Linked DNA regions of Alligator mississippiensis. Each later gene encodes a partner of the first gene's protein in a complex. Links are inferred from orthologs where the notes say so. Each region holds a gene or a part of one and is shown in the gene's direction. Other genes may lie near its edges. The genes, in order: AP2B1, LDLRAP1 and ARRB1.

The links.
Region 2: the proteins of AP2B1 (region 1) and LDLRAP1 are in contact, whole or in part, in a crystal structure (PDB 2G30), measured with the Homo sapiens proteins. The link is inferred for Alligator mississippiensis from reciprocal best matches to the Homo sapiens genes AP2B1 and LDLRAP1. Residues at the interface, in NP_001273.1 of Homo sapiens: Arg834, Gln835, Phe837, Leu838, Trp841, Glu849, Gln851, Ile876, Ala877, Arg879, Val881, Glu882, Gln884, Met886, Tyr888, Glu902, Arg904, Ser915; in NP_056442.2 of Homo sapiens: Asp253, Leu255, Asp256, Ala258, Phe259, Ser260, Leu262, Ala263, Gln264, Arg266, Thr267.
Region 3: the proteins of AP2B1 (region 1) and ARRB1 are in contact, whole or in part, in a crystal structure (PDB 2IV8), measured with the Homo sapiens proteins. The link is inferred for Alligator mississippiensis from reciprocal best matches to the Homo sapiens genes AP2B1 and ARRB1. Residues at the interface, in NP_001273.1 of Homo sapiens: Arg834, Gln835, Phe837, Leu838, Trp841, Lys842, Asn846, Glu849, Ile876, Ala877, Arg879, Val881, Glu882, Gln884, Tyr888, Glu902, Arg904; in NP_004032.2 of Homo sapiens: Asp384, Asp385, Val387, Phe388, Glu389, Phe391, Ala392, Arg393, Arg395, Leu396.

Annotation. Positions count from the first base shown.
Region 1 is NC_081837.1:26,708,560-26,718,557, forward strand, and holds the start of AP2B1 (AP-2 complex subunit beta), read left to right. Parts: upstream 1-5,921; 5' UTR 5,922-6,007; intron 6,008-6,133; exon of another isoform or gene 6,134-6,469; intron 6,470-6,505; exon of another isoform or gene 6,506-6,908; intron 6,909-7,334; 5' UTR 7,335-7,493; intron 7,494-8,818; exon of another isoform or gene 8,819-8,916; intron 8,917-9,662; 5' UTR 9,663-9,683; coding exon 9,684-9,720; intron 9,721-9,998. Other genes in the region: PEX12 (peroxisome assembly protein 12), read right to left, coding at 764-1,163, 3,319-3,860, 5,614-5,739. UniProt on the Homo sapiens protein: Component of the adaptor protein complex 2 (AP-2). Adaptor protein complexes function in protein transport via transport vesicles in different membrane traffic pathways.
Region 2 is NC_081829.1:3,554,961-3,565,020, reverse strand, and holds the start of LDLRAP1 (low density lipoprotein receptor adapter protein 1), read left to right. Parts: upstream 1-6,195; 5' UTR 6,196-6,210; coding exon 6,211-6,286; intron 6,287-6,368; coding exon 6,369-6,511; intron 6,512-9,490; coding exon 9,491-9,603; intron 9,604-10,060. UniProt on the Homo sapiens protein: Adapter protein (clathrin-associated sorting protein (CLASP)) required for efficient endocytosis of the LDL receptor (LDLR) in polarized cells such as hepatocytes and lymphocytes, but not in non-polarized cells (fibroblasts).
Region 3 is NC_081824.1:478,358,062-478,367,840, forward strand, and holds the start of ARRB1 (beta-arrestin-1), read left to right. Parts: upstream 1-5,860; 5' UTR 5,861-5,875; coding exon 5,876-6,047; intron 6,048-6,299; exon of another isoform or gene 6,300-7,597; coding exon of another isoform or gene 7,598-7,721; intron 7,722-9,779. UniProt on the Homo sapiens protein: Functions in regulating agonist-mediated G-protein coupled receptor (GPCR) signaling by mediating both receptor desensitization and resensitization processes.

The DNA of each region.
Region 1 (9,998 bases):
TATCTTTTATCAAATTCCCCCAAAGAACCTTGTCTGCCTAAATGGTTGATAGGCACTCTGAACATTTATCAATACTAAAATGAGTAGCCTGGTAATGTGAGAAAGCTTAACAGCAGAAGAATTAGCAGAGGAGAGGTATCTAGGAGTGCACCTATATAAACTGTGATGCTGTCTGCTCAGGGTACCAAAATTGGTTAAGACCCTGAGTTTAAGGAAGGTTCAAGAGGCCCTGCAATGAGAGATTAAACAGTTTATCTAGAGGCTAAGATTCTCTCCCCCCCCCCTCCCCCCCCCATCTCCTGTCCCAGTCCCTTCAGTGGCTAATTACTGCCTTTAAGCAGGATTTATATCTCCTCCAGATTTTGATAGTCTCTTTAATCTTTCCTAAATGCATGCTTTGTTATCCAATTGGACATTCCCTGTTATTTAGTGTAACTTCACAACTTCAGTGTTTAAGGCACTGGTAACCCTAATGACAGCATATAGTTGTAGCTGAACCTGACAATCTTGTTCTAATGTGTTCAAACTGGATGAAGCCAAGGCTTGTTAAAATTTCGGCAAGGCAGCAAAAACTCTACTACTGCCATTAAAGTCCAAATGTGCCATAGTGCCCAGTTATACTAGTCATAAGCTGGCACCGTACATTTTCCTGCCTTTGGTGACAGTCTTTTGTGTTGGCACAAAGAGTATATTCAGGGTGTAAGAGAGCCTAGATTATGTAAGACCTGAGTTGTATGTCAGGTAGAGGTAGAGTTCAGTCCTTTCAGCTTTCAGGGGAATACAGCTTGACAAGGTGCTGCAGTTCTGTCGCATAGCCAGTAATCGGGCATCTCTGGTGACTCTTTACATAGTTATAAACACAGCGGTAACAGAACACAAAGCCTGATGTGGACAAGACGGTGTCATTGTTTCGGATCTTGCGGCAGAGTGGACACACTGTCTTCAGTTTTGGTAAGAGAGGTGAGCCTGTGCCGTGGTCAAGGTGTATGGGGGGTGGAGGAGTAGGGAGTGCAGTCAGAGATTTGATGGTCTCCTGATTTTCAGATGAGTACCACCAGTCCAGAAACTGCAGGAAGAACACACCCACAGAGAGACCAGTGGACAGAGAGAAGGCAACACCTCCCAATACTTTCTTCACTGCTGCATGCACTTGGTCCTTGATGCTGTATCAGGGAGATGAGGTATGGATAGTTAGTACAACACATTTGTTCACCTGGAAACAGTGCTAACAGACAGAATTGATGCTATGTAGTAGAGGTTCAGGGCATCCCCAAGTGGCAATGGGCTTAAACTACAGCAAAACAGATATTGATTAAACTTCATTTAAACAAAAAACCCTACTTAGATTCATAGATTCATAATGTTAGGGTCAGAAGGGACCTCAACAGATCGAGTCCAATCCCCTGCATAGGCAGGAAAGAGTGCTGGGTCTAGATGACCCCAGCTAGATACTCATTTAACCTCCTCTTGAAGACCCCCAGGGTAGGGGAGAGCACCACCTCCCTCGGGAGCCTGTTCCAGACCTTGGCCACTCGAACTGTGAAGAAGTTCTTCCTAATGTCCAATCTAAATCTGCTCTCTGCTAGCTTGTGGCCATTGTTTCTTGTAACCCACGGGGGCGCCTTGGTGAATAAAACCTCACCAACTCCCTTCTGTGCCCCTATGATGAACTTATAGGCAGCCACAAGGTCGCCTCTCAACCTTCTCTTGTGGAGGCTGAAAAGGTCCAGGTTCTCTAGTCTCTCCTCGTAGCGCTTGGTCTGCAAGCCCTTAACCATACGAGTGGCCCTTCTCTGACTCTATCCAGGTTATCTGCATCCCTCTTGAAGTGCAGCGCCCAGAATTGCACACAGTACTCCAACTGCGGTCTGACCAGCACCCAATAGAGGGGAAGTATCACCTCCTTGGATCTATTCGTCATGCATCTGCTGATGCACGATAAAGTGCCATTGGCTTTTCTGATGGCTTCGTCACACTGCCGACTCATGTTCATCTTGGAGTCCATTAGGACTCCAAGGTCCCTTTCCACTTCCGTGCCACCCAGCAGGTCATTCCCTAGGCTGTAGGTGTGCTGGACATTTTTCCTCCCTAGGTGCAGCACTTTGCATTTCTCCTTGTTGAATTGCATTCTGTAATTCTGCATTTCATACTTATACAAGCAGAGAGAGCGAACAAGTTGCCTAGGCAAGCTGTACAATCTCCTTCACTGGAAGTTTACAAGAAAACGCAACTGGGATGGTTCAGCAAGAGTGAATCCTGCAACTGGACAAGGGTTGGACTGGATGACCCTTGAGATCCCTTCCAACCCTCTGCAATTGTGTTTAACTTTTTTAAAAATTCTGTTACACATGTATGACATGTTTACAAAGCTATTTAGGATCAGCCAGATTCTTAATGCAAATAAGTCTAGGAAGGTATAACTTGGCCTGCCTGAGAAATATAGCAATTCTTAACACTTTGAAATTTTTAGATCTAGGTTTACTGTATTTCTGAGGTAGAAGAGCTTAGGACAAGAGACAACAGAAGCTTTCACCCAGGGATCTGTGTTTCAGAAGGCTCAGGTTAGCAGTACCCAAAATTCACCACTGTCTGAATAAGGTAAGTTGCTCATCTGAACAGATAACTGATGCCATCAATCTCCCTTGGTACCAGCCTCAGAAATGACATCAAGTGCTGAACATGTCAGAGACCAACTATCCTTACATGTTTCCAGCCACGCAGCTCTGCAATTAACTTCAACAAGAAGTCTACAAGACTCACTATTTCATTTATATTTAAAGTGCATTATGACCTTCCCTCTTTTCCTGCTTTTAACCTCTAACACTGATGGTTTCATTTCACAGAACCATCTGTGAAGAGAGAGAACCTGGAACATTGCCACAAAGCATTGCAAAAGCTCTATGTTGAATGTGTTAGATCAGGGGTGTTCAACCTCCAGCACACAGGTCAAATGTGGCCATGGAGCCATGGCATCTGGTCCATGGGGGCTCCCTATGGGTTGGCAAATTTGGTGGTGAGGGAGCAGTGGCAAATAATACTATTACCCCTCCCCTGCTGCCAAATTCCCAAGCCCTGTGGACCAAATTGGGGTTGGCCATGCTCCCCGCCCAGGGCCAGACTGGGGCTGAGCCACACCTATGGGCTCAGATCAAGGCTGGGCTATTCCCTAACCCCCTTCTCCCTGCCACACACAGCTGGACCAGGCCCTGCCTTGCCTGTCCCTCACACTGGATTGGGCCCATTCGCTGGAGCACTGTCTGTCTGGCCTGCAGGGCAAAAAGGCTGGGTACCACTGGGTAAGATTAGTCTATAACTTACCTGTGGCTTGCAGTAGCTGCAACCAGTTTCTTCTCCAAGGCCTGGATATCATCCACTGTCAATCTTACCAGGCGTACACCAGCCAGCCTTAGCAGCGGTGAATGGTGTTGCGTCTTACCAAGGATGTAACAGAGCTGCTGGATGAGAAACCAGCCCTCCCAGGCCATGTTTACAAATGGGTAGGCTGCTAGAAAGGCCCTGTAAAAGCGCTTCCAGGCAGAGGATGGAAGGTGGATGGAATATTCATCTTCTTCTCTTAAGCTGGAGACCAGTTTCTCCAACTTCCCTTTCAGGTAAGGAATGAGAACCAGCAGGAGGAGAGACTTCCAGTGCTGCTGCTTTGGAAGTCCAGCACTTGCCAGCCGACATGGCCCCTTGCTGTGTCCCAACACTGTCCTCTTTAAGCTATAGAAGTTTTCAGAAAAAGAAGCACTGCACTTGGACAGATAATGCTGCTGGAGCAGTAGGTCCAGGAGTGCATAGATCTCATCAAACCAAGTCCAGAGGCAGCCATAACGGCCAGGATTGGATTCAGCAAGAACCTAGTACAAGGCACACAAAGCAGAAAAGATGTCAAAGACCAGCTCATTAAATCAAAGCTGCCACAGCCCACACATCCACTTTATTAAACAGTTCAGAAACAAAAGACCAGAGGCATGATTACAGCAGGGCACTGTGAGCATCATATCTGACCCTAGCATGTCAGCTGGTTATTAAATAAGCCAGATGTGAATCTTGGCTTCCAGGGATGAAAAGCTTCCAAGCTGATGGCTGTGTACACTTGCAAGGCTTCCAGTAATAACAGTGCTTCCTCCCACAACAGGTACATGAATACACAATGTGTAAGTGTGTTTCACCTGCACAAAAAGGAGCTTGTTCAAGAGATACCTTGCCCCTTGCTGCATGGAACTAAGCAGCATTAGCAGAAGCAATATCCCTGGCAGAAAAACCTAAAATGTGCACTCATCCCTTCATGAACTAGGGAAGACCAGGCTCTCCTCAGTTCTGGCTCCGTCTCAGACTTGCTCAAAAAAAAGATTAAGTTACCAGGCCTTTCTGAGTTTCCTCCTCTGGAGACTGTTTCCCTGCCTCACTGCAGGGAAGAGGATAGGTTAACAGAGGGGTGGGCAATTATTTGGGCCTGCAAGCCAGATAAGGAGTTTTGATGAGTTGTTGGCCTGGTCAGCATCCTGCCCCCCTGCAAGCCCCCACCAGCTCACTCTCCAAGTTGCTGATCCTGTTGGCCTGGCCGTGCTCCCTGCCCATGTGGATCCAAGCTGCCACTTTGGTTTGTGTCCCATAGGCTACCGCTGCTTAGTTGGGGATCCTAGCCCTGCCTGCCCATCCTGCTCCCAGATGCTGTTCCCTGCCCATCTATGGCCCCATCCCAGCCAACTGCAGAGCAGAGCCACACTCCGCTGCCTGCACACCCCTGCGATAGGCTTTGCTCCCTCCCTGCATGCAGAACTAGCGCCCATTGCAGCTGCGTGCAGGCAGTTGATTGTGGCTCTGCTCTGCGCTTGGGCAGGATGGGGTTGCAGATGGGCAGGGAGCAAGTGGCTGGGATCCCTGACTAAGTGGCAGCAGCCCACAAAACTCAAACAGTAAGCAGCAGCTTTGTGGCTGACAGGACCAGGCAATGGGAGCACGCAGAACGCAAGGAGCTCCTGCCAGCAGTCCCAGCAGGGGCTTGACTTTCTGTGGATGCCCCGACTCCTGGCACTACGTGGAGCTGAGCATTAGCCCAATTCAAATGGTGCTGGGCGAGAGACCTAAGCAGATGGCATTTGCAGTCCACAGCATGGCTGGAAGGAGCCAGGGATGGCAGCAAAGGGAGCAGAAGTGAGAGCTTGGCAGAGGGTTGGGGCTTGGAAGCTCCTGCCAAGGTGGGGAGCGGGGGGGGGGCCTGGGCCGGGCAGGGCTGTGCGGGGCACATCGGCTGGTAAATGCCGGGTGGGAGCTGTACCGTGGGGGCTGCGCTAGACACGTGGCACGACAGGGGCTCTGTAAACGCAGGTGGTCGCTGCCGGACTCCTGTCCCGAGGTGTCTGGCGCAGGGTCCGGCCCTGCAGCCCCCGTTGGGCACCGATGCTCCTCGGGCGGGAGCGGCGGCTTCGGTGCTCAAAGCCAGCAGCTGCCCCGCCCTCGTCCCGGCCAGGGCGGCGGGAGCGAGGGGGCCGGCCCTGGGTGAGCACCCCCACGCTGCCGTGCGGATCCGCGTGCCGCCCGCATCGGGCTGACAGGGGGCCGCCCCTCCACCTGCGCGGGGGCTGCAGGGCCCCGGCCCCGGCCCACCTTGGCCACGTGGCGCAGCGCGGGCCGCAGAACCGCCATCAGGCTGTCCTGAGCCACCGCCTCGAAGATGGACGGAGCCTCCTCGCCGCCGCCCGCCGCCGTCAGGTGAGCGCCGTGCTCCGCCATAGCGACCCCGCCCGGGGTGCCGCGGGGACGGATGCGCGTAGGCCTCCACCGGGCCGGGGCTGCGCGGGGGCAGGCGAGCCCTCACTGCCGTCGGCCTGAGTGGGAAGGAGCGCCGGCCGGAGCAGCACCCGGAAGTAGAGCGGAAGGCGGCGCTCTGCCCCCCGCCGCTCTCTATGGTCTCGGCGGCGCGGACGCTCTGGGCGGTGAGTCTCAGTCGCCGGAGCCGCTCGGTGCCGCTTCCGCTTCCCGCCGTCGCCGCCGCAGTCCGGTGAGCAGGGGCCCCGGTCCCGCCCCCGCGCTCGGGTCGCCGCCTGCCCTGAGCGCCGCGGGTCCGGCCCGGCCGGGGGAGCGGGGTGGGGGCTGGGGCTGGGGTCGGGCGCCCTCCCCTCTGCGGCGGTTCCCAGCGCTCCCGCGGGTCCCGCCCGGGTCCGCCCTGCTGTGGCCCCCGCACTGTCCCGGGCGGAGGTGTGGCGGGCCGGGGCCGGGGAGAGACGTGGCCGGGACCCGGGAGTAGCCGCGGGCGAGAGCTGGAGGGCCCAGGAGGCTCCGGGCCCGGTTTGCGGCCTCCCGCTGATGCAGGGCGGGGCCGGGCCTGCCCCCCGGGTGTCAGCCCTTGCCGAGGAGAGCACCTCTCTTCATAGCCTTAAAAACATTCACCTCTTCACGAAGTTTTGCCTCCTGCAGAAGAAAGTCGGATTTCCCTTGCAGCGCTCGGGAAGAGCTGCCTCTTGTGAGTCCCAGCTCCTGTCTCCGGGCCGGCTGGGCCTCACCTGAGCTTCCCCATACTCTTATTTGGTTAGGAAACCAAATAATATGAAATACCTAGGGAAATTGCCTTTGACAGCGTGTGTGGGGCAAGCTTCAACCCAGAAGGCAGCAAAATGTCTGTTCACCCCAGGGATGGGCAGCCTTAGACCAGGTTGCACTTGGATGGTGGAAGCTGTGCTGCTAACTAAAATAACAGTCAAATCTTGTTTGGATCTGCTAACACTGTTGTGAAGGCACATGCTGTGATTACATTTAAATAAGGGCGAGCTAATTTAATGACTGCTAACGACACTTGTAGGTACGTGAGCAAAAATAATAAGGGACTGAAGTGTTCATCTTCAAGGCATAAAGGTCTCCTTGGATGTTTAGCAAGGAATTTTCCTCTGGCAGTGCACAGTCAGGTGGGTGCGTCTTGGGTGTCTGGCCTTTCTCTGAAGTACCAGGGGTTGGCTGCTGTTCATTGCCAGACTACATCAGCCAGCATTTCTGGCCCACACTGCCAAATCCTGCGTGTAATATAATGAAACTGAAGCATGGGAAGAAATTTACAGTACATCTCTTTTGGATGGTGTTAGGCCTTGTGGCCTTGTATATAGCAAAACATCTGAGTCCTCTTTCAACTGGGTTAAAATCCTAAGCAATGTGTCAGCAAGAAGATTGCAGTGGAAAGTAGGCTGGGCTTGTTTGATAATTAAAAAGACTGTGGCAGCTTCCTCTCTTGGAACACTTACAGTTTTGCTTGAAGGGATTGTTGCCAAGATTGGTAAGCTTGAGGGGTTTACATTTGATTTGATCCGGGCAATGCTATATTTCCATGTTTTTTCTAGGTGTTTCCAGGCTTCATGAATCAAAGTACTCTGTCCTGCAGTAGGCTTGCACTTGGCGTTGTGTTTGGCTCAGCCGAAACAGACCTGGAGTGAAAGTAAATTGCCCTGATTGCTATCATCCTTTCCTAACTGTTGGGTTAAGGACAGGTAACGCAAAAGGTACAGTACAAGCACAATCTTTAAGGGGCACAGGGAGATAGGGACTAACATTTGCCTTTCCTACACTTAAGCATTTGGACATCACAGTCATGCCCAGAGTGCTCCCTTGAGAGCAGACTGAAACTAACCAAGACTTGCTTACTGCTCCTCAGCTGCTGCTTCTGTTAACTCTACGGCTGAACCAAGAGCAGCAGCATTAGTCTAATCTTAAGGGTGGAAGAAAAGAAACAATCTTTGAGAGGAAGAGATGCACTAAGATGCAGGGTGTGTCTAGGGCAGTGGAACTCAACCTTTTTAGATTCAGGGCACCCGCCAGCTCTTACCTTCACTTGTTTCTTGATGGGAAAAGTAGCAGAGCAATTTTTTGCAATAGAAGAACTCGGAAGACCACAACAGGTCAGAATGGTTTTGATTTTATGGGTTCCTATTTGAAATCTTGTGAATTTTACAGGTGTTTTTACACCTAACAGTGCTAATAGTGCAGCGTGCCATTCAGTATCCTAAAAAGAATCTAATGGCACCCCAGGGTGCCATGGTACCCTGTTTGAGAATCACCGGTCTATGATTTGGAAGATGAGGTCCACAAATGATATATGGGGCTGTGTTGCTGTTCCACGCCAAATGTGTTCCCATGATTTCTGGGGCTGCAGTGTCTGCATGCTCCATGGAAGCAAAGCAACCAGACCTTAGCAGAAAGAGATCTTATTTGTTTACTAGCCAATACTTTAAGCCAACAGAAAAAGGAAACAGGCTCAATATCTTGCTGTAGGTTCTTAATTTGTTCCTCTTTAGCTAGGCAGAGTCATTGAGAAAGCAGGGATATCCCAGGAGATGTCTTTAACCCAGAAAAAAAGGAAGAAGAGTGAAACTGGGGTGAAGTAGGGTGTACTGCTCCAATATAGCAAGAGAGAAACAAAGGGAGGAGAGAAGTGTGCAGAAAGTGGGAGAGAAGATCAGGCAAAAATTGAAAGGAAAAAAGTGATTATGGCATTGTAGGGATAGATCGGATTTCAGGTTTTTGGTTGTTACCCTGATGTAATAAAATAATCAAAAGCCAGCCATAAGATCTCTTCCTCCAGTGGTCATTTCTTTCTCAGCAAGTTTGAGAGAGAGTCAGTTTCCTCATCCAGCTGGCAGCAGTCCCATTTAAGAAAAATTCAAAATGGGTCTGCATTCATGGGAAGTTGGGGCAGCCCATCTGATCTCTACATTTTGTTGTTAATCGACTTAGCTTGGTGGAAGAAAAAAAAAGTGAACATCAAAGTCATTCTGAAATTCCTACAGCAGTAAATGAATGTGTGCTCCTACAGTCTAGTCTTCATGATCAGCCTATCCACAGTAGCTGCTGAATGTGAGAGAATAGCACTACAGCAGAGGTTCCCAATCTGTGGTGCGGGTACCACTAGTGATACACAAACAACCCGTAAGTAGTACGCGTTAACAGATTTATTATCAGTAATTTATATGACAAAAATTTACTGGTGGTACTTAAGGTTGAACTGAAAAAATTGGTGGTGGTAAGGCTGTATCATTTTAAATTGGTGGTGCTCAATCTGTCGGAGTTCGGGAACTGCTGTACTACAGTAATAGGTCAAGGTGTCTGTGATAATGAGGGTGGAAAATGTTGGTGTAGAGAGTGATGGAAAGATTTCAAGCTTCCGTAAGGTTACTATAGAGCAATTTATTTTTCTTAATGTTGGGGGATTGCCAGTGTCATCATGATTCAGGAAACAAAGTGATCAAACAGCCTTGTGGTGTGTATAGAAACAGTGTGTTTACAGTCCTTTCTGTGGTGCTGCAACTCCTGAATATACCTGTAGGGGGAGTCCTACATTTTTTTTCTGTAGATCCTGCCATTGTTTGAAAAGAGTCGTGAAACCTGGATTTCTTGCTTTTAGGAATCAAAGCCATCTTTGATGCTGTCTTTTTTTTGATACAGAATATATGTATATATTCTGGAGAGAGAGAGATGGATGTATCTATATAAAAATACTCTGGGATGTCATTTGTTGGTACAGTGTGAAGATTGTGAAACTTCTGGGGAATACATCTGCAGAGCAGCTATCTTCTGTTCTGTACTCTGGCTAAATTATGGTTCTTTTAATGCATGGCTCACATATTGGGGAACAGTGGCTACAGCGTTTGTCCAAATGTTCCTTGTTCTTGCAGGTGTTCTAAGGAATTGGAACCATGACAGACTCCAAGTATTTCACAACTAATAAAAAAGGTGAGCTTTAAACTATTCTAGTGTATTGGAGGCTCCTGGGGACAGTGAGTGCCTATTTTAAAATGATGTTTTTAACTCCATACAACAGAGTTTGTGCTTCCTTATGTGCTGTGTCCCCATTTCTCTTCTTAGTCATCCAGAAGCTGTTCAAAAGTAGGCCATAAAACAGTTCCCAAACACCCAGCCCCCTCCCACACGATGACAAAAGACAGGATTGATGAATTGAACACGCTTGCAGTATGCAAACACGGCAGCCCCAATTGCCTTTTCTGGCTCTG
Region 2 (10,060 bases), on another chromosome or scaffold:
GGGGAGCAGCAAAGCTCCAGCTCCTGGAGTCTTGTGACTTATTTAAACTTCAGTTTAACTTAAAAACTTCCAGCCTTCGGTGTTGCAGAAAGGCCTAAGCCTTCGGGCACTTAAAGGGTCCAGACCCAAAGGCAAACTTAAAGCAAAGCAAGCCCATCTTGCAAAAATGCCAAGAGTCGTGCCTCCTACGTGTCAGGTTTCAGACAGATCCGGCAGCACATTCCTGAGCTGTGACATTCCAGCGCGGCTTTAAAGATACCTGCCAGGAGAGAACTATTTTTGCAGGATCTCTTGGCGGCAATTGCTTGTTTGCTGGATTTCCAGGCTCCGATCGATGCTGGCGTTTTCCTGGTTGCTGTGCTTGCAAGTGCTGCAGACACGGTCTTAAGGGCAGGCTGGTGGCATTTGGCCTCACGACTGGGGAGTGAGTGGAAGAGGATGAGGGCACGGCGGTGACCTTGCTCTCGTGGAGACAGGCAGGGTTCGACCAGGAACTCAAAACAAGGCCAGGATGACTCCAAACTCGGGGCTGGCTTTTCTGATCCTAGCAAGTTCGAATGTGTTTAGAGCAGGGGTGTTGAAGATAAAGTGCACGGGCCGGATCCTGCGGAGCCCTGTCATTGAGTCCACGGTCTGGATTGACACGGTGCATGCAGGGCCCTGGATGTGCACTGCGTATAACACGCGGTCCGGGGTGGGTGCTGTGTGCATCCTGGGTCCTGGACTGGCTGGAACAGGCGCCCTGTGTGCTGGAGTTGGCATGGCCGTGGAGCAGCCGTGCACCACGCATTCAGCCCACGGGGCCAGATGAGTTGGACATCCTGGTGTAAAGGGCTTTGAAGGCAAAAAAGGCCCTGTGCAGCCACCAAATGTTGCTCTCAGGCAGGATCCGGTTACTGTGTTGGGGTGACCCCTGCCCCAGCGCTCCTGTTCTGGGCTCTGCGGGGTGGTGTTATCAGTACAGCGGGATGCCCAGCTCCTGATGGACTCTTGCTCTAGTTGCATCCTATTTGTAAGCAGACGGTTAAACACAGCGGCTGGCTTGTCCTTGGCTCACCACTGAACTCGGAGAGCAGGTCATCTGCACAGCCACAGCGTAGGGCTGGGGGAGGAGGAATATTTGTACAAAGCACAGCTTAAAGCAGCTTGTCTGGCACCGAGGCTGTCGGGAGACTCGGACTGAGCCAAGCCAAGCAAGAGGGCCTGTCGGTGAGGTGAGATTCCCGCAGCGCAGTCTCTGTTTGGAGGCGGAGGGCAATCTCGCTGTCTTAAGTTGCAAGTTCCTGCGGTGTCTCCCGGTCCTCGAAATAGGAAAGCGCGCGCTACTAAAGCACGCGGGATTGTAAGGGGATCCTGTGCCGGCTTGCGAGGAAGGCAAGGAGACGGATTCTGGGTTCTGGTGCCCTTTCCTTCCCCCCAGGTTGCAACGTGGCACCGCTGCCACCACTCCCGCTGCTTCTGGCCTGCACCCTATAGTACAACCGCCTGGCTTCTGGGTCCCCAGAGCGACGGCGTTTTCCTGACCTCCCCGTGAAAGGCAGGGGCCCGTCAGTTCTGCCTGGGAGCAGGAGGTGAGAAGCCTGTCCTGTGCCTGTGCTCGATGGCTTCAGCACTGCAGCGCGATTGCAGACTTGTCTCCTTAAAGCTGATTTGCTTGGGCATGCTCCTTCCTTGTCTCCTGCCTGCCTTCAGAATTGACCTCGTCTTCTCTCGAGCAGCCATGAATACAGCTCCCCTCGGTCGCTGGGCAGTGTCCATCTGTTCTGCAGGGCAGAGCAGATGGCACAGCGGAGGGATGACATGACTCATGTCTCTTGCCAAAGCGCAGCTGGTCGGTTGGACGTGAAACCTGCCCAGCTTTTCCCTGCCGCTCCGGCTCCCGGCTCTGGAGGAATGTGGGGGGTGGGGAAGGACCATCGTGCCCAGCAGAAGCAAAGGGGCTGGTCTCTAAGCTGCCGCCGGGGCCACGGCCGACCACCCTGCGTGTCTCCTTGCAAAGCAGCGGCTCCGACGGGCTTGTCTGCATGTTCTCCTCGCGGGCAGCCTGTCCGGACTCGCTGTGGGACCTGTGGTTGCTGATGCCAGCAGCCTTGGTGAACCACTAAGCAAGAAGATGGACAGGGTGATGAAAACCCCCGTTGCTGTATTTTGCAAGTGACTGGCAGTTGGGGAAAGAGAGGGATTTTTTTCCCATCCTTTGTGGAAATAGGGTTCTTGGCTTGGCTTGGCTTGGCTTGGAAGCGAGGCCGTGCCGAAGGCCTGGCCGAGCTGGGCGCAGCAGGTTCCCCAGGACTTCTGTTGTCTTGCTTTGGTGGGGGAGCGTAAAGGTGACTTCAGCTCTGAAAGAGCCGAGCGAAGGCTACTCCTTGCACTGGAGCCTTTGTGTAATAATGCATGATCGGCCCTTCAGAAAAGCTGTGGGGGGCTGGGGAGCAGGGAATGCCGCTCTGTTTCGCAAGGACTGTCTGGTTCTGTGTCTGGCATTTGTTCCTGGCATCGTGTCCTGCTGCCCTGATAGCTCATCACCTGTGCATGCTGCAGCAAGCACAGGGCAGCTCCCGGCGGCCCTGTCCCGCAGAACGAGGGCAGCCTTGGATTTGCTGCCGTATAGGGTGGGAGGCAGGGGGAGTCTGTGGAGTATAAATGCAGGCGAGCGTCGTGTGCCGCACCTTACAGATGTTCCCCCGCAGCTCGGTAGGGCGCTTTCTCTCCCTAAATCTCCAGCTGCTTCGTAAAAGAGCTCCGCATCAGTCTTCTTGTCTTTTCCAGATGGGGAGACTGAGGCAAGGTGCAGTGACTTGCCCAGGATCACACAGCAGACCAGTGACAGAGCTGGGCATTGATCCCAGGTCTCTTGAGTCCTAGGACACTGCTTCATCCCCCTAGGCCAGCGGGTCTCCACATGTTGGATCCCAGTGTGCTGCTTGCTGGGTGTGCCGCGGAGACCCGGCACGCTAGTCCTGGAACAGAAGCAGCACAGCCGTGTTTCTGCGGCATTGCACTTGGGCTAATTAACTTGAGTCATGGTTGGGCTAATTAGCCTGCCTGAAACACCACAGCCGCCTGCGCTGGCAGTCATGTGCAGAGAGCCACCTGGCCCCGGGGATGTTTGGGAAGGGAGGGTCAGCGCACCCCCAAAGAGCTGCCTTTGCAGCCCACCTACAGCACTTCCCCGTGGAGACCCCGGGCACGGAGCCGCACGGACCCCACTCCTTTGCTTGGCGTTTGGAGCGAGTTCTCCGTGCAGAGCACCCGACCCCACAGGGACCCGTCCTGTTCCCCTTCCTTCCGCTGGGACTGGTCTGGACTGGAGGTGTTGCCCTGCTGCGCACACACACTGCCCGGGCGTGGGAAGTGACCTGCCTGGGTGTGACGGCCAGTTTCACACAGCTGCTGTGTTTACGTGGGGGCTTTCCACTTTTCTGGCGGGTAAGTTAGCAATCGTCTCTGCATCTCTTGCCTACTCTGAGGCTCCACATGAGTCACTGGAGCCCGTCCCACGGGGTGTGGGGACTTGAGCTGGGCTTCTCTCCGCTCCCTGCTGCTGCCAGGTCAGGGCCAAACCCAGCACCTTGCTCCTCCTTTCAGCAAGGGACTCCGTGACACCTGAGTCACCGACCTAGTGACGTCACGGGAAGGGAGGCTGCTCCCTCTCCCTGCCCCGTGTCATCATGGAGTTGCCTCCCAGTGTAAACTGCATGGCGCGTGCAGGCTGCATCATGCCGTTCGGCAGTGAACACCCACTGCCGAGCGCTCCCGGCAGCCCTGCCCTGCCGGAGGGGTGTGCCTTCCTGCCCGTGACCCTGCTGCACGCTGAAGGGCTTGGCAGGGAGTTGCTCTGTCATAGCGTGATCGGTCTGCAAGTGCATGTTCAGTGCCTGTGCCCCCAGCATGAGGGGAGCACAGGCCTCGGGGAGGGCTTGAAATGGCACAGCTGCGGCTGGGTTAGCCCGCGTGCACTGAGACAGGAAGGGCACTTCCATCCAAGAGCGCCCTGATGCTGCGGTGGATTTTGGAGCAGCTGCTTAATGAAGTCCGTGATGCATCGCACCCGTCAGCAGCCGTCAGTTTGTGCTGAGCGCGACTGAACGGCTGGCATTTCTTCGGCAACACCCGGGTGTTTGTTCCCCTCCTGCTTCCTCTGTTCAGTGCCACAATGTGCCTCTTACAGTCTATAGCTCCCGGGGTGATAGTCTCTGCAGCATTAGCTCCTGCCCACTCGCTCAGCAGGGGGTCTGTACCTGACACAGCAGCAGGAAACCAGAGAACAAAATGCTGCCAGCTCAGATCTGCACCTAATGAGAGCCTGCCTTAGCATCCACTTTGGCCCTTAGCCGATTAAGAAATATAGGCAGTCAGTGCATGGACATGATCTCTCCTTGCTCTCTCAAATAGAGGTATGTCCCTGGCTTGCTTAGCTCCGCTGAAGTCAGTGGAGCCAGCCCAGTTTACGAGAACTGTGTGGCTTTTTCCTAGCAAAGGATCTGGTCTTGAAGTACTTCCCGCGCCTTGTCTACAGCAGGTAGAACAGGGGAGGATCCACTCGCACCAGCATCCCGCGTAGCCCGGGGTAGCCAACCTGCACGACAGCACAGCAAAACCAGTGGCTTTTAACAGTGCTCAGGCCCCGTCTCTGTGATTCAGGAGCTCGGCTTTTTTAATCTCCATGTTCACCCTAATCCTAAAGTGCCCCATGCTAGCATGCCTTGGCATCTGCATGGCTTGGGGCCTGCAGTTCATTGGCTAAAGAAGCAGTTTGCCCTGCTCTGGGGTTTTTTTTACCAGCTTGTAATTTGGTGTTGTGTAACGAAGTTGTCATTCAGCTGGTTGGCGATGTACAGTGGTACAGAGAACAAACTGTTCTCTTGTATGTTCTCCTTTGTCTAATGGATGCGCTGGGTTTGGTGCGGCTGTACCTTCTGCGTCGTGTGTTAGCATGTATAATTCCTCCTAAGATGCCATGATTTCACTTATCCAGGCAGGTTCTCAGCGGGTATCTCCAAAGGACTCAGATAACTGAGAATGTTCTGTACCGTTCAGACCATGTTCCTCGTGCTGAATTACAATTGCTTTCCAGTCGGTATCTGATGGGGAAGCTGGGGTGATCTGCTCCTCCTCTCTGCTTAGGGCTGATAGTGAAGTCAGCCAGCAGAGGCCAACTGATAGCATAAGCAAGCTCTCCTCTGGTCATAGGGCTCCTATACCAGGACTTGAGCATGGACTATCGCTGACGTAGAAAGTGAGGGATGAATTAATACCAGCTTGGAAATAACTCTCTGCCTTCCCGTCATCAGAGGAGAGGAGGTGGGCAGTAGACGGAGGAACGTTGTCCTGGGTTTGCCTGGCTTTTGGGACGGCAACCTTGCTCCAGTCCCTGCTCTTGGCTTGTGCTGCTCTAAGCCTCTTGAGTGGCTTTTAAGGTGCAATTATCCTGGCACAAATTTTGCTAAATGACAGTCCGCTTAACAGGCCTTAGTCATAGGGCACTGGCTGGCCTGAAGGGGCTCTGTTCAGGAGAGCGGGAGGAAGGCAGACAGCAGCACAAGGCAAGTGCAGAGGTGTCCATGTCCTCTGTCACGCTGTCCTCTGGAGACTCAGCCGGAGCAAAGTTATTTTTCAGACTTAACCCTAGTGACATGGCCACTGGCAAGAAACCTTTCCTGAAGTGTCCGGGGACAAGGCAGCGGGGACCCGAGGGAATTGCGGGGAAGGCTCGCAAAGGCATTTGGTGCCTTATGTTGATTTTGATGGGGTAAAGAGCCTAAATCCCCTTGTAGGTCTGGCCTGGAGTTCCTAGTTAGCGTGGGTGTGAGCAGGCCCTGGGAAGGTGGAGGTTTCGTGGCCGTGTTACTGGCCTTCTGCTCCCAAAGCCTCTCTAGTTTTACTGTCAAGTTTTCGTTGCTTGCTTACTAAGCTTTGGAGTTGAAGCCAAGTTACGTTGAGGAAAGATGCCTGCTCTCCTGTGAGCGGGTACAGTTGTCACCTTTATCTCCCTCCTTGGTCACAAACTTAGTTCTTAAGGTCAAGCAGAGCAACAAGGAACTGGGCCTGGGAGTCTTTCATCTTGCTCTTGAGTGTCTCCCAGCGAACTGGCCTTAATTCTGCGGTCTTCGCTGTTGGGCTACTTGAGTGAAGCCAAGATACCTGAAATCTTTGTGCAGGGAGAGCTCGGTGAGCGGGTCGCCAGGAGTAGCAGTCACTTAAGATACAATGACTGGTGCACTTTCCAGTCCCTCTGGTCACAGCTTTGGCTGTGATGTGCTGCACTGCTCCCTTCGACACCCAGGTAAGGTAGAGGAGGCAGCTGGTGTGTGTTTGCATGACTTCCCAGTGAAATCCCTTGTTTAAAAAATTATAATCTCCTTTAGAACTGCCAGAAAACTGGACTGACACCAGGGAGACCCTGCTGGAGGGGATGCTCTTCAACCTGAAGTACATGGGCATGACGCTGGTGGAAGAGCCCAAAGGAGAAGACCTCTCAGCTGCTGCTGTCAAGAGAATAGTAGCAACGGTGAGTGTCGGGATGGGGTTTTCGACTAGCTCCGATCCTAGTGAAGGAGCTCCCTGCCACCAGCGCAGAAGCTTCTTTCCCTGTTCGAAGTTTGTGCGCGACAAGTGCTGTTCATAGACATCCTGCATGTATCTATTTCCGTATTTTCAATAGAGAAGGAAGGCTGGAAGGGACCTCAAGAGATCATTTAGTCCAACCAGAGAATCCAGCCTGCAACCTTGGTGTTATTAACCCCGTGCTCTAACCACATGAGCTAAAGGACCTTTTCTATACACCTCCCTTTCAAGGATCTTCCCATGAGACTTAAGGAGGGTGGCTGCAGGGCAGGGTTGAAGGGATTAAAAGTTGTGTCAAGTGCTATGCCTCATCTAGCTAGAGCTCTCTCCACTCAACGTCATGGGAAGAGAAGGTGTCCCTGTGGTATTTCAAGCCATTAATTACCCCTAACCCACACCTGCCACACACTGTTTAGGAAACCAGCAGCCTCTCCAGCTGGGATACTCTAGACCGGTGGGGTGGAAGCAGGGACATTCCCGTTGCAGAGGTCATGTTTCCCATTCTCAAGTTCGTTGCATTGTGGCCCGCACTTAGGAGGCCAGACTTCGGCACTAATTACCTTTGGGCCGTACCCAAGACACCATACCCCCAGGCTCCCACTATGGGCACGCATCTACCACTCTTGAGGCTTTTCCACGACTGCATGTCTCTTCTGTCCCAGTACAGCATCGTGGAGCCCTGTCATAGTCTATTCCCATCCACTCCCCGCAGTGCAGCCAGCTCAGAGGGGTCTGTGCACGAGGCATTGAGCTGTCCCGAGGGGGCTTCTCTGCCCCTACAAGGTAGAACGAACCCCAGGTTCGTGGCGCTGGGCTGCAAGTGGCTGCATGCAACACATTGCCAGTCAAGCGCACTTGATCTGCTGCTGACCTCGACTTGGCTCTAAATCTAATGGCGGTTGAAATAAATACATAAATGAATACATTTAAAGCAGCTAAGCCTGTGGCTGATGCAAGCCAGGGCAACAGGCTGGCAGTGGGGATAACAGCCACGAACTGTTGCCAAACAAAAATCCCTAGGGCCTCGTAACACTGAGTGTAGACCTGGGAGCAAAGCTGCTCTCTGGAAAAGCCAGTGTTGCAGCAGCAGGTTTTGTCTGCCAGCATTTGGTTGTGGTCAAGCTAATGCTACACAGGAACAGTCCACTGACCTGCAAACCAGGCTCGGGTGAAGGGCCCGATCCTGGGGGCGAGCAGCTGCTTGAGTGTAGGTCTCACAGGGCAAAGTGCACGAGTGTGGGAGCATCATTCCTCATCTGGAGAGACGGCGAGACGGTACACTGGATTTTGTGGCTGGCTTGATGTACCTGGGGGTAAAGCCCCAGCTGCTGGAGCCGTGTGACTTTTTTTTTTGTATGGTGTCTTTCTCTGCTAACACAAAGGCTAGAAATATTGCACAGGTGGCCCAGAGGTGCAAAGCAGAGGCCCAGGGAAGCGGGCAGTGTGACATCCAGGGATGCTGGGGCAACGCTGACAACAGACAGTCTCTTCCAGCTGGCGGAGCTGTACCTGTGCCACGTCATCTGCTGTGTAGACTGCGCATAACTGAGCCTCAGTGGGCCTTTCCCTAAGGAATAACTCAAGGGTCAGGCCCTAGTTATGTTTTTTCCCTCCGGCATTGTCCTCAACCCTCTTAGACTCCATACCCCCTTTGTAATATGTTGCCTTTTGGCTTTCATCCATTTTTTGACTATGGAAACATGCTAGAGCAATTCTCCTGTTGCAAAGAACTCGGCGGAGACCAAGCAGGTCAGGATGTTGGTGACACTCTGGATTCCTCTTTGAAATCTCTGGATTCATCTTGCGAATCATGCATAGGCGATTGCACACCTGACAGTGCTGGTATTGTGCGGCACCTTAAAGAATCTCACAGCACCCCAGGGGCTGTGGCACCCTGGTTGAGACTCACTGCCCTATGGGGAGATTTAAGGCAACTTAAACCAAAGATAATAACCTACTGTAGGTCTAGGCTTGTTGCTCCAGAGGCTGCTCAGCCTAGGCACATAGGATCATCCCAGATCTAGCAGCAGGTCTTGTATGGTATGTCATCTGGTCTGGTTGCTAACATGCAGTCTGTGGTACTGGATGCAAACCCTCCTTGCAGGTTGAGTTCGTATCTCCCGAGGTTTTGTCCATCCTGAGTGTGCAGCCTTCAGCCACCGTAAGCAATACCGCACAATCCTGCTGAGAGCACAGAGCCCAAATGAAGTGCTTAAGCATTTTACAGATGAGCGCATGTTCTAATCTGTCTTCCACGGCAACATAAATCAGTGCTCCGGTGAAGGTAAAATTTTAATAAGGGCTCTATCGTACCTTGTAGTAAATTAAATCTCTGATAATAACAAGTGCTATTAACTTAGCTGTTAATTGGTACGTTGGTCCTGGGTATGACTGTAAACTGCATCCGACTGGAGGGCCTGCTGGCAATGTGGTAAAGCTCCTGTAAAATACTGCAATGCTGCAACCGCTAGAGTAAGGCAAATATAAGGTGCCTCAAAACCTTGGCTTCCATTGCCTTGTGGGTACTCCTTGGTTGGAGGAAGGCTAAGGGACGTCACCCTGATAGAAGTGCACCCTGCCGGAGGCATTAGGCACTCAGCAGCAGTTCTTCTCTGTCATTCTGGTTGCAGAAGTTACAACCATCGAGGCACTGAATGCCTGGACTCGGCCCCAGTGGTCTAAAGTGGGGGTGGTAAATCTAGGGCAGCCTCTTCTGCCCCATACTTTTGCCTAGGCGCACTCGGGGTGATGGTCACATAGACCTCTTGCACGTACACCATGATCCAGAGGATTGACAGTTGCCAGAACAAGCTGGTCCATGCCTAGAGTAACTAATCCACCGTGTCAGTGCAGCTTTGGGGGGAATCGTGCTAAGTTCCTGCCGTGATGCACGTGTTTGCTTTCTTTCCCCTCCTGTTCCAAGGCTAAAGCAAGTGGGAAGAAGCTACGGAAAGTGACGCTGAAGGTGTCCCCTCGAGGGATCATCTTACATGATAGCGGAACGAATGAACTGATCGAGAACGTCTCGATATACAGGTACGTTGTGGGATGCAGTGCGCGAGGGCAAGAGCTGGGCCAGTGGTGGGTCCTGTCAGTGGACTTCTAGCTTCTGGCAGGCAGGGAGCTGCAGGTGGTTTTTCCCAGGTTAATTTGGTGGCAGGTTCAAAGTCAGCAAACTCGTGCATGAAATGTGGGCGTCAGCTGCCCGGTTGACCCCCTCTGCTCCTAACCTATCCTACTGCCTCCCGCTCCTACTAGGCCTTGGGTTTGGACAGGCTGGGCTCTGACTAGAGGAGACCAGGACGGGACTGAATGCAGCAAGGAGGGCCGATGATCTGGCTATAGTCTGCCGTGAGGTCCTGAGCTTGCCTCTGCAGCATTCAATACCAGCCTCTGCTGGAGGGAAGATCCTGAGCTAGACAACCAGGCCCAAGATTTGCTCAGGCGCTGCCCACGTGCCTCCCTCAGCCGCCTCTGTTTTGATTTAGTAATT
Region 3 (9,779 bases), on another chromosome or scaffold:
AACACCCCAGGGCACCCTTAAAAGGATCTCACTGCACCGCAGGGTGCTGCAGCACCGGGGCTGAGGATCGCTGCCTTAGACCGGTGATGCTCCGTCAGGGTACCGCAGCACCCTGGGGTGCCCTGGGATCCTTTCAAGGGTAATATGAGGTCCCAACACAATGTTAGCCCAGTTAGTCACGCAAGCACGGTTCACAAGATTGCAAACAGGAATTCACGGTGCCAAAACCCTTCGGTCCCGTTGTGGTGTCCCCAGGTTCTTTGCACCAGAAGAATTGCTCTGGTATTTTGCTGTTAAAAAAAAAAAGGAAAACTAAGAGCTGGCATTTTTTGAGGGTGGCCTTGAGCCCACCGAGGTGGAAAGCCACTTCCCTAGATACCCTCGGACCAGATGCTCAGACGGGGAAGCAGAGCATCATCGTGGTCAGGCAGCTGGGAGAGAGAATAGGCATCCGGGGACTCGGTTTAGGCAGGTCTTGCTGCACCAGGCCTCCAAGCAGGAAGTCCTGCCTGCTCTTCGTTCATATTTATAACACGGGAGCAGTCAGAGGCACCAGCCGGGCTCAAGGCTGGACGGGGGCAAGACCCCTGAATGAGCAGGGCGCTGGGGCGAGTGGTTTATAGCTCATGCAACGGCCTAGCCTGCTGTGCTCATTTTCATCACGGCTTCTCTCCTCTCCAGCCCCCTCCTCCTCATTTAACAGTGTGAGAGAAATTGCTCGGGGACCTTTGGGTTCCCTGCCAGCAGAGAATGGCTAAACTCCCAGATTAAATTGCTGGCTGCTTGCTCAGCTGTATTTGCATGCCGTGGTCACAACCCTTGACCCGTGTGCCACGCTGCCCGCATAGCCCCGGGTCCTTCTCTGGGGACCGGAGAAACAACCAGTGGCTGCTGCTAGTTAAAGGAGTTGCCGCTGTTAGGCAGTCGAGGGCTTAGGGCCTAAAGACAGTGGATCTAAGTGTGCTCTTAGCCTAACACGCTCTGGTTCTGCATGTGAATTGCTTTCCCTTGCTCTTCCTGCGCTAAGCAGCCTGCCTGGCTTCCAGCTCTTCCGCAGGGCAAAGGACTCATTACAGATCTGGCTCTGATCTCTGAGGATCCCGAGGGGACAGCAAGTTCCCTGGCACACTGACATATCTGCGAATGCAAGGACCGGAGATGAAAGCCCAGGAAGGCGGCAGCCCTTAATGCCTCTGCAAAGGATGATGTTTGCGTCGGATCGGATGGTCTTTCTCTGGGGATGCCGCTGCTTCCCTGCGCAGAGGTGCCCGGCAGTGGGACCCCCTTTCATCTCCTGCGAGAGGCACCCTGCGTCCCTCCCTCCCAGAGGAAGGCTGTGCGGTTGTGCCCTGGGGAGGATAAAGCCCTCCGCTCGCTGCAGTGTCTCAGCCAGCGCAGGGCATGGGTGATGCATTGCTCGGCACGCCATCGCTTCTCTTGATGCGCAGCCGAAAGAGCCCCTTTGACCAGGACAAGGATTTGCAAACCCACTCCAGGATGATGGGCAGTCGTCCCACGGGACCAGGCCAGCTGCATGCTACCAGCCCCTGAGCGCCCGAAGCTGGCACACTAAAAAAACTCAGCACTGTCCTTAACAGAGCGCTGAGACGCACTCCGTGTGCTCTCGGGCATTGGACCAAGCGATATAAGACAGCCCTGAACATGATTACTGGAAACAGCGGCAGAGATGACCAAAATCTCCTGCTCCGTCAGCTGTTAACTGAAGACTCGTGCAGGAGGTGACGGCAGGTCGTCTCGTATTGCAGGTGGTTTGTGGAGCATCCCCCAGCTGATAGAGGTGCCCCTCGTCCCTGCCCGCTCTGGCCTGGGTCTGTCTCAGGATCAGGACAGTTCCTAGGCCTGTGCCTGATGGTGCTGGGATTATAACACTCATCGCATCTGTCTTGGACCGACGGAGAGAGAAGGCAGAACCCGCGTCTGGTCCGTTTAGCGCTCGTCCATCAGAGGTGTCCCTCCTGCACCTCTGTCCTCACACGTGTGACCCGGAGGGGATGCCGCTTTGCAGCCGGGAGGACTGGATCCTCATCGCACAGGGCTCCAGACTGGTGCCGCCTTGCAGCTTGCTCCCGGGCTCTTGTTTGGTGCAGGCAGGACCCCTGAAGGGCAGAGCCTGTTGCAAAGTGACCCCGTCCCTAGCCCTGGATAAGAACATGCTGGAGGAGCGGGGAGACGGTTCTGCCAGCCTTCCCCTCTCTGCCTTTCAGCCCTGGGTATCTTAGTGCATCTCTCTAAACATCCTGCAGCTGATTGCCTGGCTGGCGATCCGCCGTGCCATCTGGCCGGAGAGTGCCTCCCTGGGGGATCCTGCTGCACGAGCGCTTGCTGAGCTCTGTCTCTGGCATAACTGGGGAGAGAAATGCCTGAGAAGTGATTACAGCGCAGCAGGAAGCAAGCGGTTGGACTGCCAGTCCTCCCGGAGCCACTGCCAGCTTCATTACCATCCCCTTCCCATGAGCAGGGAGAGCAGCACCGTGCTGGCGCTCCTGGCCCGTTGGGCTCGCCGGGTGCCGTCTGGCTAAGCCGGGTGCAGGTGACATGGGACCTCCCGGGAAAAGCATCCCCCCTTACCTCCAAGCCAGGCAATCGGCCCCCTCCGTGCCAGTGCCATTGCACGCTGGACAGGCCGTGAGTGCTGCAAGCCGGCAGGGCTATCCGCACATCTATGGACCCCTGGAGTCAGAGGGCTCTCCGGCAGGCCTACGACACCAAGCACACGCTGTTGGGGGGCTGTTTTTCCAGCTGAGACAAAAATGCCTTGGTGCTTTCCACTCCTAGAGGAAGGTAGGGGCCTGATTTTCATTCACGCTCAGGTCCCAGGGACAACCCTGCAGACAACGGCTGAGGCACGAGGAAGGGGGATGCTGCAGGCAGCCAAAGGGACGGGCTGGTCATGTGCGGGGCTGTTTGCTGCGGCTGCAAATTCCTCCCATGCAGACCAGCAGCGAGCCGTGCTGGGGATACCGCTGGGGAAACGTCTCGGGTTAGATGGATCATTGTGCTACAAGCAGGATTTAAGGGCTGGGCTATGATAAAATCAGACAGCGGTAAAACCCGGCGGGTTGTATATCTTTTCTAATGCCATGCAAGAGGCACAAAACCCATTGAGCTGCATCCTTCCTGTACTGCCGACGGTTTCAGCTCCTTTGTAAGCTGCTCGGGACCATCTGTTGCCTGCATGTCCATCCAGCAGCTTGGCTCGGAGAGCCGCTGACAGCCATGTCTCTCCGATGCAGATCTTTGCCCTTCTGCCCTCCCTACTTATTGGCTTAGGCCTGAGGGAGGTTTCAGAAATGGAGCCAGGGAGAAATCTCCATCCAACCTTGGCACCCTGAGAAGAACCAGGCCTCATCCCGAGGTGAAAGAGCCGACTTCAAGAGAGGAGCTCCTTTGGTTGCAAGGAGAACTGGAAATGAGTATGGCATGCCAACAAAGCTGTATGGGACTGCACATGATACCCCAGCTACCCACACAGGCCCTGCCAGACAGGGGATTTACTTATTAGGCTTATTAATGCATTCAGGATAAGCAGATTAACTTGAGCTATGGTTTGATGGATGTACCTGGCCGGAGCCTGGCAGTGTTCCCGGTTGGATGCATTTGCTGCGAACCCTGATGCAGGGGTGGGTGGTACCCTCGCATGGGTTTTGGTCTCCTTATCTCAAAAAGGATGTAGTAAGGTTAAAAAAGGCACGGAGAAGAGCGACCCAAATAATTGGGGATATAGAGCAGCTGCCGTACTAGGAAAGACTAGAAAGGCTGGGTGAGACTCTTTAGTTTGGAAAGACGGCGGCCGAGGAGGGATATGGTAGAGGTCTATACAATCACGAAGGGTGTGCACCAAATGACAACTGCTACTTGCCGTGTCCCAGATGCTGGAACTAGGGAGCGCTCGTTGAAATAAATAGGCGATGAGCTTAAAATGAACTCGGAGAAAGGGCTTTTTCACTCGCTGCGTTGTTAACCTGTGGGACTCGCTGCCGCAGGAAGCTGTCGGGGCAGATAGCATAGCCAGGTTCAGGAAGGGGCTAGACCAATTCTTGGATGATCAGTCTATTAATAGGTATTAAACACACCAATGAGGGCTGTATTCTCTGGCATCTCTAAATCAATGATGGTGGATGCGAGGAAGAGTAAGGCGGGTCACTCAAGACCAGGGGTTTTAGACATGCGACACCCCTGGATAGATCAAGACCCCCTTGGGAAAACACCAGCTCTCACCTGTCACTCTTTTTTTTTGGAGAAATAATAGAGCAGGTTTTCTGCTGCAAAGTTCTTCAAAAGACCCCAACTATGAATTCCTGTTTGAAATCTCGGGCTAGGGACGGACATTACACATAAACCAGTTTCAGTGATCAGAAACTGGTTTAAACCTGGAACAGAACAGATGTTCAGGGCACATAAACCAGTTTGAAAAGGGCTGAAACCGGTTTGAGACAAACCTGGTCGAATGTAGTCTCAGACTTAACAAACCGGTTGATGCAATGTCTGTCCCAGACCTGGGTGTATCTTGCACATCCCGTTTGCACACCTAGCGGTGCTAATGCTGTGCGGCCTCCTGGGGCACCCTGTTGAGAATCACTGCTCTAGATACACCCTGGGCTCACAGCACAGGGATGCTAAGCAGGGTGTTTCCCACTCCCAGCTCTCCTTCCAGATGTGGGCTGGAGGATCCATCGCCTGCAAGGACTAATGGTCAAGCGAGGAGTCAAAAACAGGCACTGTGATGTAAAAGCAGAGCCAGAAGGAAGCTCATGAATGAGCCGCCTTGCTCATTGCTATACTCGCTACCGGAGCAGGCAGTGCCTGGTGAGATAGCAGGTTCCTGTACCACCGGGGATGGGGATGGCAATGGCGATGCCCCCTAGGAGGCAGGTGGGGAATGTGTTGCTGACCCAGTGCTTTCCATGATTAGCTCTTGGTCAAGCTGCTATCTTTAGCGAGAGCCCTGTGTGCTTAAGGCGTGGGTTGCACCCCGAAAGCGTGGGTCACACCATTGCACACTGCGAGCGCTGCTGCGATGTTCCTCGAGGCCTGTCTCTATAGCATCCCTGACCTGCCAGGACGGGTCCGACCCTCCTGGCCAGGCAGCCAGCAAACAGAGGAAAAGGGTGCTCAGGGGCTGTGCAGGGTTGCAGGCAAGTTCACTCTCACAGCCCCCTCTTTGTCCTGCCGCTTTAAGCCCAAATATTCCACACTGGATGGAGAAGAGCTTGCCTGCTCCTGACCTGCTACCCCAGGGATGATACCCCACTATCCCCTGGAAACTGTATTAAAAAGTGTCCCCCTTAAACCACCCCATGCCACCCCACATTCAGGTCCTGTCCCACCGCTGTAGACATCGAGTCTTGGAGACGCCGTCACTCTCCCTTGCCCCATTAATCCCAATTTGAACATTAGTTTTGCCTTCTCCAGTGGAACAGAAGTGACCAGGGGGGTTTATATGGGATTGGGCCTTGTGGAGCATGGGCACCGGCTGCTTGTCTGCTCCGTCCCTGATTCCCTTTGTGTCCCCTCTCCCTGCAGCTCACAGTCTACCTTGGGAAGAGGGACTTCGTGGACCACATAGACATGGTGGATCCTGTTGGTAAGTGGCTGCTTGGCTTGGTTCACCTGGTGGGATTCCCAATGCAAAGAGCAGCCCAGCCCGGGATGCGGGTGCAGAAGTGCTTTGGCTTTGTGCTGTCTCCAAGGACAGCGCGTACCGAACGGGGGGGCTTATGCAACAGCCTTGCCGTAGCTGTAATTAGACAGGAGGGTTAGAGATTTTCCACATCAGCAAGTTTCCCCGGTCGTGGCTGGAGTGTGCTCTCATGCCCATCCTACCCACTCGAAGGGAACATTAGCTAGCGGTTGGATGGGTCTGGACTTTGCAGAGAGGATGCTGACGACCAGGATGCCTGCAGCACCCGGGGGCTGCAGCCGGGATGCAAGCCCAAGCGTGCAGGGTGCTGTTTCAATACATCATAGAGGACAGTTCATGCCACTGCCTCGTTTCAGACCAGACCCGACGAATCTCGGAAGGGAGGGTGAGAGTCGCGCCAGTTAGAGTGTGCATTTGCACAGGGCAGCTAGACGAGGTGTCTGGTCAATGAATTACCATGCCCCAATGTTTGTGCTGCAATAAATGACAAAATGCTGATGAATGCAAGAGAGAGGAGCTGTTCCAGCTGGCTGGCTGCCTGGCCCGCTGCTTATCCAGCAAAGCGGGTGTTGAGGAAGAAGGTAGGAGGAGGGAGAGCAGTGGCTGTAGGTACGAGGTCTGGTTATAGAGGCAAACCAGTGGGATGCGTGCTGCGGACCGCCCAGCGATCTCTTACACCAGTGCAGCCAGGGTTTGCACCGTGCCAGCTGTGCCCGGGCAGCTGCTGCGGTAGGGGCAGGCATCCAACCCTGCTCTCCCTGGCAAACCTCCCATCGATGGCAGCGTGTGAAGGATCAGGATATCGGGCGGTTGCTAAAGTGCACGATCAATTGGAAGTTGGCATCCCGACAGGCATGGGAGCCTGCCTCCATCGAACCCAGCCTGGCTTGGAGCGACCTGGTTTCTGTGCGTGCTGAGGCTGGGGTGGGGGTCCCAGGAAAACCACAGCTCTAGGTGTGAAGGGGGCTCAGGGAACTATTTTTCCTGTCTGTGAGAAGACTTTGGGATGTGCAGGCCCAGGCTGCAGCCTGCGGTCCTGGGAATGAGATGTAATGAGCTCCTGGCAGGGTGAGACGTGACTGTTGGAGAGGGACTGAAAGAGTCCAGACCTGTTTGCATGGCATACGGCGAGATCCTTTCCCAGGGATTTCCTTCTATTACTTCTTATCTATATGAAAGTAGCACCTGGAAACCCCTGCTGAGATCAGAGGCCCGTAGCATTGGTTGCTCTTCACACCACCGGGAGCAGGCCGTGTCCCGAAGAGCCGAACATCTGGAGAGGCACCGGTTGTGTTGTCCTGCCCACCATAGATGCAAGGGGCAAGAAGACTTGCCCAAGGTTGCACGGGAAGCTTGTGGCAGAGCCAGGAACCGGCCCCAGATCTCCTGTGACTCCGCCAGCCCTTGTGCAAGCCCTTGTGTAAAGTTTTCAGGAGGGCCGAAGGGCCAGATCCGGAGAGGCAGTTACAGCGGCAACGCCGAGCATTCAACGCCTAAAATTTAGGAGCTTGGTTCTGGGCGTGGAGCCCACAAAGCCTGGGGAGGCACCTACCTCCTCTGCACTTTAAATAGAGAGACAGAGTCACCTGGGCCCTCGACCCACCGAGCCCCTGCTTTACAGTGGGGTAAGAGGCACCACTGGCGCTGCTGGAAACCTGGAGCAATGTCGTGGAAAGCAATGGCTTGATTCAGGATTATGCTTCAGATGCCGGGGGGGCAGGACCCGGTCGAATGAAGCTGCATCAGACTGAGGGAGATGCACCTCTGGCCTGTATGGTGCAGGCTGGTCTGAAAAGGGCTTTATCCTCTGGATGCCTGCTGCTCGCTGCACCCTTTTAAGGTTGAGTTTGGAGAGGTGAAAGACAGGGTGCAGCAAGGAGGCTGCCGATCCATTAGGCAGGCCGAGCTAGTGGCAGCAGGCTGCAGAAGCCACAAATGTGTCTGAAAGGAAAGCCAGAGACCATGAGATGTGAAACCTCCCCTCCCCTTGTCCCCTCTCCAATAGCTAATGACTGGAGCCCAGGTCCCCTACGCCAGGTCCCGGCAGAAATCGGAGACGGTAAGGAACACAAGCGTCTTAGCGGGATTTGCTTAGCCCTATTGCTTGGGGCATCGTCATGGGGACTTTGCAACGTGCGTGAAAAAGGCCTGGCTCTTGGGCATTGCAGCGGCAAAACGGGGTCTTCAGAAGCTCCCGCCGGCCCCTGGCAGCAAGAATCAGAGCATTTCAGGTTGTTGTTACCTCTGTTCATTATGCATCTCCGAGGCCGCTAGCTTTCCGGTTTAATTACCCAGGGCGGCAGAGCATATTGCTTCTCCATTATCTCCCACCCCATATGTAATGCTCTTCTTCTCGTATCTAATTACAGTCCCGCTTTGATTACCCATTAGCTAGGGGAAAAAAAAAAAAAACCCAACAAAACCCTTTTTCAGACTTCCAATTTCTCCACCCTGGGAATTTGCAGACCTGACTCACCCCCGCATCCAGTTTCTTTGTTCTGGGGAGAGCCGCTCACCCTGGCTCAGCCGCATCGGATGCAAAGTCGTTCGCTTCGTTTTCATCCGCTGCCCCTCCCCGCAACCCAAATGGCTAAGACGCCATTAATGTCAGTGTGTAGGAAGGGCCCCGACTACACCGCGTTGGTTGTGGATTGGAGCCAGACGTCTCTGCAGACCGACCACTTTGCTTCTGGCCATCGGTGTGCATGGCCCGAGGAGCGGCGGGTCTCAAGGAGCACGGCCGTGGATTCGAGGGTCTAGTTTTACCACTGAGATGGAAGCACCCGGAGCTGAGCGTGCCTCGTTCTGCGGGCAAAACATCGCTGGAGCCAGACGCGGGCACCTTCATTCTCCGTGAATCTGAGCCACCTCGGCAGCCCCGCTGGCTCCTCTCTGCCTTCCCGGCACCTCCCTGCCCCTGCCATGCCATCCTGCATTCACGCCTTCGCCCACCACAGAAACTCATACGAAGTCAGGAAGGGGCGGCAGGTCTGCCTGGGAGGCGAGGCGATGTTTCCGTGCAGTGCATTAGCCTCGAGGGACTTGCTGCTCCAGTCTAGCACGGGACTGAGGAGTTTGTCAGCATGCCAGTGCTGTGGAAAAAAGCACAGAGGCAACCAGGTGCAGGAAGTTGAAGCCTTCTGCCTAGCCTGGCGTGCGGTGGGTGCTGTACAGCTCGAAGCCGTACGTGCCACCCGGTCCGGCAGGCCTCAGAGGCCTGGGTGCAGCTCGCAGAAGGAAGCTGGAGCGTACACCTTCTCTGGGGCAGGCCAGGAGAAAGGCCACGAGACTCAGATGGGTCTGGAGTGGTGAATGCTTTCCATCGCTCCAGAGAGCGATAGTCCTGCTCTTCTCTTCCATGGACAGGAGAGCCGTCATGCCGTGACCAGGGCTGGCTGGTTTGCTGTGGGATGGGCAGGACACAGCCAGGCGTGTCATAGGCATGGGGACAGGCTAGGCTTTCCTCTCTGGGCACTGCACTATTAACCGGCAAACATGGGTCTCAGCGCCACGTGCACATGAGGGTAATTCCTCTCCCTGTGCATTCACAAATGAGCTGGGAAAGCAAAGCTGCAGTGCCACGATCCCGGCAGACAGAGCAGCAACAAAACATAGGTTCGGGGGGTGTCGGTTGTAGCTGAAGAAGGGCGTTTGCACCCAAAAACTTGCAAAGAACAATTTTTCCAACTATTTAGTTGGTCTAATAAAAGATATCACATTTACCCAAAGACAGCGCGGGTTGTCGCTTAGTGCCCTGATTTGCATTTGCAAAGAGGACCCTTCTCTCTCCATTCACAGGGCTGACATCAGGCCCTGAGTCACGTCCTCCTTCGTCCTTATGTCACCCGCTGTTCGGTGCATGCTACACAGCCCCTCCCGGCTTGATCCACAGCTGCTGCCACCTCCCACCCGGGGACGAGTCCCTTGGCAGCAGCTGCAGTCTCACGTCCATGGCCCTGCAGGCCCTGGGGCTCAGGGATGCCCAGGCAGGCTCTCACTGGATGCAGGGGAGCCCCAGCTTGCCTGGGAACCCGGGGCTTGACCTTGTTTGTCTGCTTGATCCTCAGTAATAGCTAGCAGGAGTCTTGCAGCAGCCCAAAGAGGACAAGCACAGGAG